Ovis aries: one gene and its partners. The protein of the gene in region 1 interacts with the protein of each later gene in a biochemical or structural test. Links are inferred from orthologs where the notes say so. Each region holds a gene or a part of one and is shown in the gene's direction. Other genes may lie near its edges.

What was found. The genes of interacting proteins can lie anywhere in the genome.
Region 2: of the proteins of KAT2B (region 1) and histone H2B type 1-B, one has a biochemical effect on the other in vitro, tested with the Homo sapiens proteins (3 studies listed by BioGRID). The link is inferred for Ovis aries from reciprocal best matches to the Homo sapiens genes KAT2B and H2BC3.
Region 3: the proteins of KAT2B (region 1) and CTBP1 form a complex in vitro, tested with the Homo sapiens proteins (2 studies listed by BioGRID, with this or other methods). The link is inferred for Ovis aries from reciprocal best matches to the Homo sapiens genes KAT2B and CTBP1.

Annotation. Positions count from the first base shown.
Region 1 is NC_056054.1:278,356,302-278,359,812, forward strand, and holds part of KAT2B (histone acetyltransferase KAT2B), read left to right. Parts: intron 1-1,654; coding exon 1,655-1,863; intron 1,864-3,185; coding exon 3,186-3,312; intron 3,313-3,511. UniProt on the Homo sapiens protein: Functions as a histone acetyltransferase (HAT) to promote transcriptional activation. Has significant histone acetyltransferase activity with core histones (H3 and H4), and also with nucleosome core particles.
Region 2 is NC_056073.1:30,871,961-30,875,896, forward strand, and holds the start of histone H2B type 1-B, read left to right. Parts: upstream 1-1,500; 5' UTR 1,501-1,546; coding exon 1,547-1,927; 3' UTR 1,928-3,936. UniProt on the Homo sapiens protein: Core component of nucleosome. Nucleosomes wrap and compact DNA into chromatin, limiting DNA accessibility to the cellular machineries which require DNA as a template.
Region 3 is NC_056059.1:117,891,776-117,895,771, forward strand, and holds the start of CTBP1 (C-terminal-binding protein 1), read left to right. Parts: upstream 1-1,187; 5' UTR 1,188-1,369; coding exon 1,370-1,409; intron 1,410-1,651; exon of another isoform or gene 1,652-3,808; intron 3,809-3,996. UniProt on the Homo sapiens protein: Corepressor targeting diverse transcription regulators such as GLIS2 or BCL6. Has dehydrogenase activity. Involved in controlling the equilibrium between tubular and stacked structures in the Golgi complex.

The DNA of each region.
Region 1 (3,511 bases):
GTCCATCGAGTCTGTGATGTTACTCTTGGCCTAATGTACAGCCCATATCCAGATTGCCCATCTGCCCTAATTCTGTTGTTTATGGTATCTATTCCTGTTGTTGGAGGACCAGTCTGGGGTCACATGTTGCATTTAATTCTGATCTCTTCAGCTTGTTAATCTGTTTAGTTTATTCCAGAGCAGTTTCTCAGCCCTCTGTTGGCCTTTTGTGGCAGCGGCATTGTTGCAGAGCCCTGCTTTGGCATAAGGGCCCTGTATGTGTGTCTGTTCACTGATGATTAGATTCAAGTAAAGCCTTTGGGGCAAAAGGGCTGCTGTCATCTCCTGTCTTATCCAGGCGCAAAGCAGTCCTAGATGTTTCTGACAGCTGCCAGGAAATGAAGAAATAAGATGATTTTTCAAAACATCTGTAACAATTTTTTTTAGAATGGCTCTGCTGGGTGAAGGTATCCATGTTTAATTTGTCGTGTTTCCTTAGAGATTTATTTTGTGCAGTTGAGGATAATTCACGGGATTGGAATGCTGTTAAGAGAGCGATCTCCTTGTAAAGTTGCCCTTTCCATTTCCTTTTGGGTGTCCAGTCCTTGGGGCCTTCTGTGTACATGTCTTTCCGGGATTTAGTGACTCCACAGAGTAGTTTTGCTCAGTTTGTTTCAGCTGTGAAGTGTGGATGTCATCACACATTCCACGATTTGTTGGGTGGATTGAGTAGTGTCCTGAAGTTGCCTTGTACTGGTATGCACAAGGCACCTGTTAAATTCTCAGGAGTTTTAGGAGATGGTCATTAAACGTGTTGACCACAGTGGCAGATGGGCCTCCAGCATCAGCTGTAGACCAGTGAAGCGGGCAGTGCCAGCAGCTGGCCCTTCTGCCTTGGGGGTCTGTTTGTTGAACACTGACCTGCACCCCACTGCCTGGGTTAATAGGATGGGGCGCAGGGTGCTGGTAGGAGGTTGTACTGCCAGCTTGATTGAGAGTGGTCAACACGACTCCTTTGCAAAGAAGCCTCTCTTCCTCCGAAAGAGAGGTGCTGGTAGTATAGACGTGACTACCACTCATGGGCCTGCAGGGAGAATTGGGGTCTGGGATCCCAAGGGTGCTCAGCCAGACGGGATTCCGAAAACCAAGGACTGGCTGGCTGCAGCGCACAGGACAGACGCAGGCTGCCTCCCCCATTAAATCAAGTCCTCGGGTGCTCTGCCCTGCCCACACGTGTCTGCGTGGTCCCTCCGTGTTCTCCCCACCGTGGTGTCTGCGTGCTCCCGGCCACGTTCTCCCCGCCGCGGTGTCTGCGTGGTCCCTCCGTGTTCTCCCCGCCGCGGAGTCCGCATGGTCCCAGCCGTGTTCACCCCGCCGCGGAGTCCGCAGCTGCCGCAGAGGCCTCCTGACTTGCAGATCCAAACATGAGTTGTTTGGCCCTTCAGAGAAAGTCTGGTGACTCCTGGTCTGTACCACGTCTCCATGGACACGTGGGAGGCTCTGGTCTGGCAAAACGCTCTGCCTAGCTGCCTTTTCATGGCTTGTGTGTTACCGGTTGGGACCCCGAAACCCAGGAATGCGTATCTCACTAGCACACGGAGGAGGGGCGCTGCTGTGAGCTGTCCCTTCCGTCTTAGGGAGGCGCCCTGTGTGACCCCTTGTCTCCTCCTCCCAGACCAGCTTTCTGTCGGCACACTCGGCCAGGGACGAGGCGGCCAGGCTGGAGGAGCGCAGGGGTGTGATCGAGTTCCACGTGGTGGGCAACTCCCTGAGCCAGAAGCCCAACAAGAAGGTGCTCATGTGGCTGGTGGGGCTGCAGAACGTGTTCTCGCACCAGCTGCCGCGTATGCCCAAGGAGTACATCACCCGGCTCGTCTTCGACCCGTGAGTCGTGCCCGGCTCTGCTTTCCACTTTCCTGATGTGTTTTGTAAAATGCATTCTTTTTTTTAAGATTTTTTTTTTTTTACTTAAAAAATTATTTATTTTTAATTGAAGGATAATTGCTTTACAAAATTGTGTCTGTTTCTACCAAACATCAACGTGAACCAGCCTTGAAGCGCTTTTTCTTGATGTGGACCATTTTAAAGTCTCTTGAATTTTTTGCAATATCATTTCTGTCCTATGTTTTGGTTTTTTTCATCCTGAGGCACGTGTAATCTCAGCTCCCTGGTCAGGAATCAAATGGGGGTTTGACCCCACCCTCTGTGTTGAAAGGTCAGGTCTTCACTGGGCCATCAGGGACTTCACTCTCCTTTGTAAAGGAGAGAGGAACCGCTCGGGTAGTGAAAGTCAGGCACAGTCACCCACCGCGTCCTGCTGCTGCTTGTCAGCTGCGCGGGCAGAGCGACGTCCCTGCCGTGGCCGCGGCCCCAGGCATGCAGACGAGTTTCCCAGCAGCTGACTAGCTTCTATTACCGAGGCTCCTGCTTCAGGCTGCCGGCGGCGCCCTGCGCTTCGGCCACTGCATCAGTGGAGGGACATACAGACCTGGAGCGGATGCCCCAGTTTCCTCACAGCCAGGCTCTGATTTTGGCGTCTTAAGCAGGCTCAGCTCTTGCCTGGGCCTGTAAGCCCTGGCAAGATTACTGTGCTGTTAGGGTCACTTTGATCACCCATTGCATAAAAAAGGGGAAAGACAGGAAAGGGAGCTTCCGTAATTGAATGCATTTTAACATACAGAGCCCAGTTGCCCGTGTGGACTGTGGCCCATGCCCGTGACTGTTCAGAGTGACGTTTTAGGCAGAAGGCCTGATGGAATTCTGGAAGGCAGGTTTTAGCAAATCGTGCAGATGGATTGTGTTTTCATTTCCTTATAGCTTCTGTGGTATTTCTGAGTGAGAGTGAACTCTTCAGAAACGTGTGCCCATGTCCCTGGCTTTTGCTCCCCCTGGGCTTGTGGGCATCGGACATGACCCTGTTTCACCACCTGTCAGCGCCTGTCCACAGGCTCTGTTCTTCGTCTAGGGGCTCAGGCCCCTTCAGGTGGCTGGCGCTTGTCCTCATGAACACTCCGGGGATGTCTTGGGAGGCAGGCTCACTCTAAGACATTCACTTACAGAATGTTCTAGTGAGATGGTGGCCAGACAGAGGCAGTTTCCACAGAAAAATCAAGAAAGAACCCCCCCTCCCTTCCAGTTTTCCTGATGTGTTAGTGAGGAACACCCCAAACAGGAGGTAAAACAGTGATGCAACCTTATTCTTCCAGGAAACACAAAACCCTTGCTTTAATTAAAGATGGCCGTGTCATTGGCGGTATCTGCTTCCGGATGTTTCCATCCCAGGGCTTCACAGAGATTGTTTTCTGCGCTGTAACCTCTAATGAACAAGTCAAGGTAAGGCTCACCCAGGGTCTCAGAAGAGATGCAGGATGTGGTGCTTTTCACAGAAGCTGCAGAGCGTGGCAGGGTCTCCACGTCCAGAGAGTCCTGGACTCTCTGAGGAGCATCCTCTCATTGCAAGTGTGTGTGTGTGTGTGTGGGGGGGGGGCACACGCTTCCACACCCACAGTCATTCTCTACTGGGCTTTGTTGG
Region 2 (3,936 bases), on another chromosome or scaffold:
ATTGGATGAATTACTTCTACACCTATTTCCTATGCCTTTTTTTTTAAATCTAGGCGACCTGAAGGAATTTTCCTAAATTGTTTCATCTTATTGCCAACTTCAATGTACATAACGAGCCATTTACCCACCATGTTAACTTTTGATTCAGTATACGGGTGGGACCTGATATTCTTAATTCTTGACACGTTCTCAAGATTGTCAGTATTTCTGCTCCAATCCTAAATTGAATACAATTGATCTTTCTCCCCCACAGTTGGGTCAGCTTTAAGTAAATCTCGAACTACCAGGACTACCACTTTCTAACTTTGGTCATCAGATCTCCCCTAATTCTGAGTTTATCTTCTGTAAAACTACATGCCAGGGTCCCTGGGTGGATGATTTTAAAAAATCACATGCATGCAAAGGTGGAATTGATGACATATATACACTGGATCCTGATAAACTTCCATGGGGGGGCGGGGGGATTGTTTTAAAATTTTGAAAGCAAAGGCAAGAGAAAAATAATCTTGGCAAGAGTAATTGCTTTTTGTTATCCTCAAGACTAAGTACCGCTCTAGTCTCCCCTTCTCTTTATAAAGGCCCTTGTGGATTACAAAGGTTTCGCCAGCTATGCAGTAAAATAATGCTTGTGAGAACATTTCCAGAGTCTTTGTTTTAATGTCATTTGTCTTTTTACAATTAACCACCTACGCAGCATAACCTGGCTACCAGCTTTTTTTTTTTTTTTTTAATAAAAATGTGGATGGCTGTGAAAAGTCTTTGAATAGTTTATTAAAAAGTTTCTTCTTTTGTCTAGGCTTTACTTCCCCTTCGCCTTGTGGTGACTCTCCGTCTTCTTGGGCAGCGGCACCGCCTGGATGTTGGGCAGGACGCCGCCCTGAGCGATGGTGACTTTGCCCAGCAGCTTGTTCAGCTCCTCGTCGTTGCGGTTAGCCAACTGCAGGTGACGCGGGATGATGCGGGTCTTCTTTTTGTCCCGGGCCGCGTTGCCGCCAGCTCCAGAATATCAGGCGTCAGGTACTCCAGCACCGCCGCCAAGTACACCGGAGCGCCGGCTCCAACCCGCTCGGTATAGCTGCCCTTGCGGAGCAGGCGGTGCACTCGCCCCACTAGAAATTGTAAACCAGCCCGGGAAGACCGAGTTTTGGCTTTAGCTCGAGTTTTGCCTCCTTGTTTACCACGTCCAGACATAGTTACTTTGTAAAACTCAACAGCAAAACTTGTGAGCAGGAAAAAAAAAACCCTGGACGACCAAGGGGGGATAAAAATATTTTTTTAATAGACAGTAGAGGGATGCGCCACTTAGGTCTCCTATTGGTCAGAAGGACGAAGGTTTTTCTATCCAATAGAAAGAGAATATGTGTATCCCTTATTTGCATAAACCCCTCCCTCCAGACCTTAGTGAACCTGTACTGATCTTACCCAATCAAAAGTGAGAATTTTTCATTCCTCATTTACATTGAAGCGCTATAAATATCTGGTTTTTGAACTCATACTGGTAATCTTAGTCGCGGAGGCTATCATCTAACGTTTCTAGGGCAAAACAATGCCTGAGCCGTCTAAATCTGCTCCCGCTCCTAAAAAAGGCTCTAAGAAAGCCATCACTAAAGCACAGAAAAAAGATGGCAAAAAACGCAAGCGCAGTCGTAAAGAGAGCTACTCTATTTATGTGTACAAGGTTCTGAAGCAGGTCCATCCAGATACTGGTATCTCATCTAAGGCCATGGGTATCATGAACTCCTTTGTGAACGACATTTTCGAGCGCATCGCGGGCGAGGCGTCACGCCTGGCGCATTACAACAAGCGCTCGACCATCACATCCAGGGAGATCCAGACGGCCGTGCGCCTGCTGCTGCCCGGGGAGCTGGCCAAGCATGCTGTGTCTGAGGGTACCAAGGCCGTCACTAAATACACCAGCTCCAAATGAGTGCCTGCATAGGCAGTTAATCCAAAGGCTCTTTTCAGAGCCACCCACTTTGTCGAAGAAAGACTGTAACTGCCGTTTTCTCGCGCGGTAAATGCAATTCTGTCCTATTGATTTAAGCATCTACATCTACTCTAGTGGGGTTAATAGTTGAAGCAATTTTGGAGCCAGAACCTCTAGCTACTTGAAAAGTCTCTTGGCATTTAAGAGACGTTCCCCGAAAGACACATCTTCCCGTTTCCCATGGACTAAGCATCCAGATGCTTGGAAATGCTCACTCTTCACGAGGCCTCTTAAAATTTTTGATGGTGATTAGAATTTTCCTTCCGGGTAAGGAAGTGGTTGGGGGGATTTCAGGGTCCCGATCCTCAAGGCATCTTTATGCAGGTTGTCTTTTCAGGGCAGGTTGCAGGGAAGGCAAATCAGTGGGGTTTTCTCCCTGTTATTGGGGAAACTAAGCAAAATCACCTGTTGTTCCTTTAGCAAACCGCGGACACTTTTATAAGGTATTAAACTCTGCACATGGTTGAAATGAGATTTTCTAATTTCTCATTATAATTGTATAGTGATGGAAACAGCCAATGTAAAGCCGTTTCCATTTTTCTTGCATTCCTGATATCTGGGTTCCAGTTTCCTGGGTCATTTACCTTCCTGGGATGGCACTAGAAGAGGTTGAAAGTGTGGCACTCCCAATTCTAGGAGGGGAAATGGTTTGAATTTTCTGACCTCCCCATCTGGTGTCACCTCATTTGCAGACTAGGAGGGCCCCAGGTGGAGAGGAAGGTGTGCTAATTTTTCTTGGGAAAATTTTTTAAGAGAACATACTACTCCCAAAATAATCCTGATAGGAAGGGCCTTGGTTGTGGAAAAGGAGTCAGTGGGGCTGGATGAGGGGAAGAGCCACGAAAAGTCAGCGGTTGACTGCATATTAAAAAGGTAGGGGAAAGTCTTTTCTTTGGTTTATAAGCACCATATTTAGGTGACATACATCAGTGTGTTTGGATAAGGAAATAAAAACTCGAAGTAGAATTTCTCAAAAAGACCACTTTTAAATTTTGGAGTTAAATGAACTTTTCCCAGATCCCACACAAATTAGGTGACTGCTATATGAGAAGACTTCCCTGTCTCAGCATACATAAAACATACCTGTGAAACAGAAGCTTGTCTTAGAAGTTAAAAATCTTGGTTTTTAGATTGTAACCCCCTCCACTCATCTCTGGGGGGAAAAGAAAGAAAAATTGAACTCAAGCTGCAGTTTCAGAATTGCTCTCTGGAGGGATGAGATCTTAGTGGTAATATAATCTCAGTCTCTTCAAAATTATCTCCTGGGGTAGAACTTATTATTTGCCTGCTTGCTTGCTTCTATCTTCCTTCTCCTTGCCCCTTCCTTTCTTCCTAATAGTTGATATTTTACAGAACTATATACAGTCAGCAAAAAGACCAGGAGCTGACTGTGGCTCAGATTATGAACTCCTTATTGCCAAATTCAGACTTAAATTTAAGAAAGTAGGGAAAACCACTAGACCATTCAGGTATGACCTAAATCAAATCTTTAATGATTATTTCAGTGGAAGTGAGAAATAGATTTAAGGGACTAGATCTGATAGAGTGCCTGATGAACTATGGATGCAGGTTCATGACACTGTAGGAGCAAGACCATCCCAAAGAAAAAGAAATGCAAAAAAGCAAAATGGCTGTCTGAGGAGGGCTTATAAATAGCTGTGAAAAGAAGAGAAGTGAAAAGCAAAGGAGAAAAGGAAAGATATACCCATTTGAATACAGAGTTCCAAAGAATAGCAAGGAGAGATAAGAAAGACTTCTTCAGGGATCAGTGCAAAGAAATAGAGGAATATAATAAAATGGGAAAGACTAGAGAGCTCTTCAAGATCATTAGAGATATTAAGGAAACATTTCATGCAAAGATGGGCTCAATAAAGGACAGAAATGGTATGGACCTAACAGAAGCAGAAGATATTAAGAAGAGGTGGCAAGAATACACAGAAGAACTGTAC
Region 3 (3,996 bases), on another chromosome or scaffold:
GAACCCTGGTCTCGGACAGCAGGGGCTGGAGGAGTCGCCTCAGGGGCCCCATCCTGTTAACTGAGAGAGCCAGAGGGGTGTGCGGGCCAGACACGTGCCCAGGTCTGGGGGTCCGGGCTTTCCCTTGTGAGTGGTTTTGTCTGTGTTCAGGAAAGTTCTCTGAGACTTGCTGAATGTTCATTTAACCCTGTTTTCTCATTTCCCCTAAATGTTCTAATTAACCCAATTTGGGAGGTAATCTCACAGGTGAGTACCAAGCACGAATTTAAAAGCATCTGTTCTGTGGCTAGATGCCCAGTTCCCCTATCGACGCTTATCAAACCCACCCACCCTTTCTCACTGGCTTGTGGATGTGCAGGATGTGGAGGCCAGCTGCGCTCAGCACGGTTCCTCGCGTTTCACCAGCCAACTGCTGTCCTGCTCAGCGTGCTTTTCACCTGTGAAGACAGGGGCACTGCCCGTCTTCAAGGCCACCTGCCAGCATTCCCACTGCCAGGACACCCCTGCTCTAGACATCACGGTCTCCCAGGGTCAGCCTCCGTCCTTGCCCATGACCGGAGCACCTTGACCTTGGGGCCTGGCGACCTCCCACCCTGGAGAGCCCTCCTGACCCTCGAGTGCCAGGACCCCTCGGGAGTTCTGGAACGAAGCACAGGTCGCTCGCTGGGGCTGGGGGTGGGGTGGGGGAGGTCGGATTTACACCGACTTCGGCCACATACCTGGCCGCTTCCCAGGGACCACTTCCACCGCCCCGGTTCCGGGGGAGCTGCCCCGCCCAGGCCTGTGCCCTCCTCGGTCCCCGGATCTCAAGCACAAGGGCCGGTTATCTCAGAGGAACCTCCGGGGGCGGCGCCGCTGCCTCCCCCGACCTCGTGGCCCCAAGGAGCCCAAAGGACCCTTAAAACCCGGGGTCGCAGACGCCGCTCGCTCGGCGGCCGGCGCGTGGGTGCGGGGATGGGAGCACGCGGGAAGGTGCACGAGGGGCTCAGCGGGCTCCAGGCCGGGGGGCCGCGGCGAGAGCGCGCGCGGGGCCCGCGGGGCGCCCGGCAGGTGCGGCCGGCGGGGCGGGGCGGGGCGCCGGGCCCGGGGGGCGGGCGGGGCGGGCGGGCGCGGCCTGCAGCCGCCCGCGTGGTCTGCGCGGCGCCCGCTCCTGGAAACAGGAGGCCGCCGCGCCGGAAGCCCCGCCCGCGCGCGCGCCCTGTCCCCGCCCGGTGGAGCGGCTGCTGGCGCGGCGCGGCGGCTCGGCACGGCGGCGCCCGGGCGCAGGCAAGCGGGCGGAGCGGCGGACGGCGCCCAGGCCGCGCCACGCGCCGGGCTCGCGGCGGAGCGCGCCGGACTGGTCGGGGCCCGCGGCCGCCCGCACCTTTCCATGGGCAGCTCGCACTTGCTCAACAAGGGCCTGCCGCTCGGTAAGGCCGCGCGCGCGCATTTCCGGCCGCGGGGGCGGGGCGGGGCGGGGCCGCGGGGGCGGGCGGGGCGGGCGCGGGCGCCGGCTTTGTGTGCGAGTGCGCGTGCGCGCCGGCGTCCGCGCGCCGGGGGCCGGGGCCGCGGGGGGCGCCGTGCGCATGCGCGGGCTGCTGCGTGCGCGCCGGCGCCCGGGGGGCGGGGCCGGGGTCAGGGCCGCGGGGGCCGCCGCGCGCGTGCGCGGGCTGCTGTGCGCGAGTGCGCGTGCGCCGCCGCCCCGCCCGCCCGCCCGCCCGCGCAGGTGACACAAAGGGGTGCGGGGCCCTGAGGACCGTGGCGGCCGGGACTCCGCGCCCGAGGCGGGGGCCCTGCCGGCCTGTCCGCCCTGCGGTCCCGGCTGGCGGGGCTCCTGCCGGCGGGGCCCCGCAGGGAGGCCGGGCGCGCCGGCGGCCCCGAGTCCTCTGGGGCTGGGCCTTCCGGGGCTTTGCGCCCCCGTGCACTGCGGCCCCGCTGTGGAAACGTCTGACGGGGCGCGGCGGCGGGGGTGACACCCGGCCCGGGCCCGTGTCCGCCCGAGCGGCCGGACGGTTGTGGCCGCGTCCGTCTCACCCCGTCCCCTCCTTGCTCTGTCAAGTGTGGGGAGCAGGCGCACTCCGTGCCCGGGCGGCGCCCCGAGCCTGCGGCCGGGGGCGGCCCGCGGTGGGGCTTTGCTGGCCGCCGCGCGCCGCCGCCGTCGGGCCGGGCCGTGTCCACCTGTCACTGCCCCCGAGCAGGCCCAGCTCCCCCGGCCGGGCCCCCCTCGCGCTGGGGGCGCGTCCGGGCCCCGGGCTCCGAGGTCTGTGGACGCAGGAGCGGCCGTGGGTCCGGGCGGGGCTCCCTCTGGCCGGTGCCTGCCTGCCGCGGAGGGTCCCCCCCCACCCCCGGCCCTGGGCTTGCCGGGAGGGCGGCCTGTGGCGGGCAGCCTCCTTTCCGGTGATGCTCTTCTCTGTGGTTGGTTAGGACAGGCTCGCTGTTGGGGCGTGCGATGGGATTGGTTTTCTTCCGAGCCCGCCCCGAGGAGTGATACCACCCCTCCCGTTTGTCTGGATGACTGGACAGTTGGGTCGCACATGAGGGGTCCAGAGTGGGGTCTGCAGGTCTTACCCCGCGGGGGCACCTTCTCCCTCTCCAGGATCCCCCCACCCAAGTCTCAAATGTATGTACGCAGAGGCAGACAGACACTCAGGAGAAAGCTCGTCTCCAGCAGTGTGGACGGGCGGGTGCCCTGTGGGTTAGCGTCTCCTGTCCATTCTTGCACGGGGCGGCATCCCTGAGCCTCTGGACGAGTGGCCGCAGCAGGCAAGAGCGCAGGCCTGGCGCTCAGGGAGCCCAGGCTGAGCCCCTGCCTGGTGCATGGTCGTGGCCTTGTGCTCTCTGCGCTGTGGCTGTAGAGGGGCTGGAGCGTTAGAAGTGGGGCCACGTGACGGAGCGGGTGCCACCTGTCAGGTGGAGGGGCAGGGCGGGGGATGGGGAGGGTGCTAGGCCCTGGAGGTAGGGGGCAAGGCTCAGGACCGGGGTCCCTGTGCAGACTGTCCCTCCGGAAGGCAGGAGGGTGGCGTGCAGGGCCGCGGTTTGTTTCACAGTGAACCTGCCCCTCTCTGTCACTTGATTTGGGTGAAGTTTTCCTGGGACTCTTGAGCATCACGAAGGTAGCAGGGCATGTGCACACAGGTGGGCGTGAGTGAAGACGGTGGCAGAGATGAATTCGAGTGGCGAGGGGTCTTCGTGACACATACGTGCCTCGCGTCACGGCTTTTATCTAGCACGTGTGCGGGGCGCCTTTTGGTTTCTGAGGAGCTGAGGACACTGCGCTGTGAGGCTGACTCTTGGTGGGTGGGCCTGCTGCGGGTGCTCTGAAGCCCTGTGTGCCTGGGGGAGCCCCCTGGCCTTGCCTCCAGGGGCTCAGCATCCACCACAGCCAGACCCGCCCTGTCAGTGTGGCCAGAACCCTGCTCAGACGGCTGTGCTGGGGGCAGGGGTGAGCTGGAGAAGGCGTGGCTGCTGCCGGCTCTTCCGACAGAGTGACACGGGGGTGGGCGGGGGGCCTTGGTGTGTCAGCTGTGACTCGTGGTCAGCCAAAGGGCACATCCTGACCGATGGGCCGGCTTTGCAGAGGAGGATGGGAAGGTACCAGGGGCAGTGACGCATGCGCTTCCTGCTGATGAGGCGTGTGCAAGGGACTGCGGTGACCAGGGGGCCGCAGTGTGCAGGCCGGAAGCCTGGTGGAGCGTGGGGGCCGTGGGGCCGGGGAGATGGCTGGAGGGCTGGACGTGGGGTCAGGGACCCTGTTCGTGGCTGCAGAGTTTGGAACTTGAGTTTGAGGCGGCAGTTCTGGGGCTGGAGCGGAAGCAGAGGCTGTTCGGAGGTGAGCTCTGGGAGTGTCCGCTTTGCGATGCTCCGTAGCCCTGCACCAGGCGGCATGAGCCAGTGCGTGCCCCTGAGCCAGCGCTGCGGGTGCGCTGAGGCCTAGGCCTGGGCTCTCAGGAACCCGGGGCGTTCTGCAGATGCAGGGATGTGCTGTGACCAGTCTGGGGGCTCAGCGACTCTGGTGAC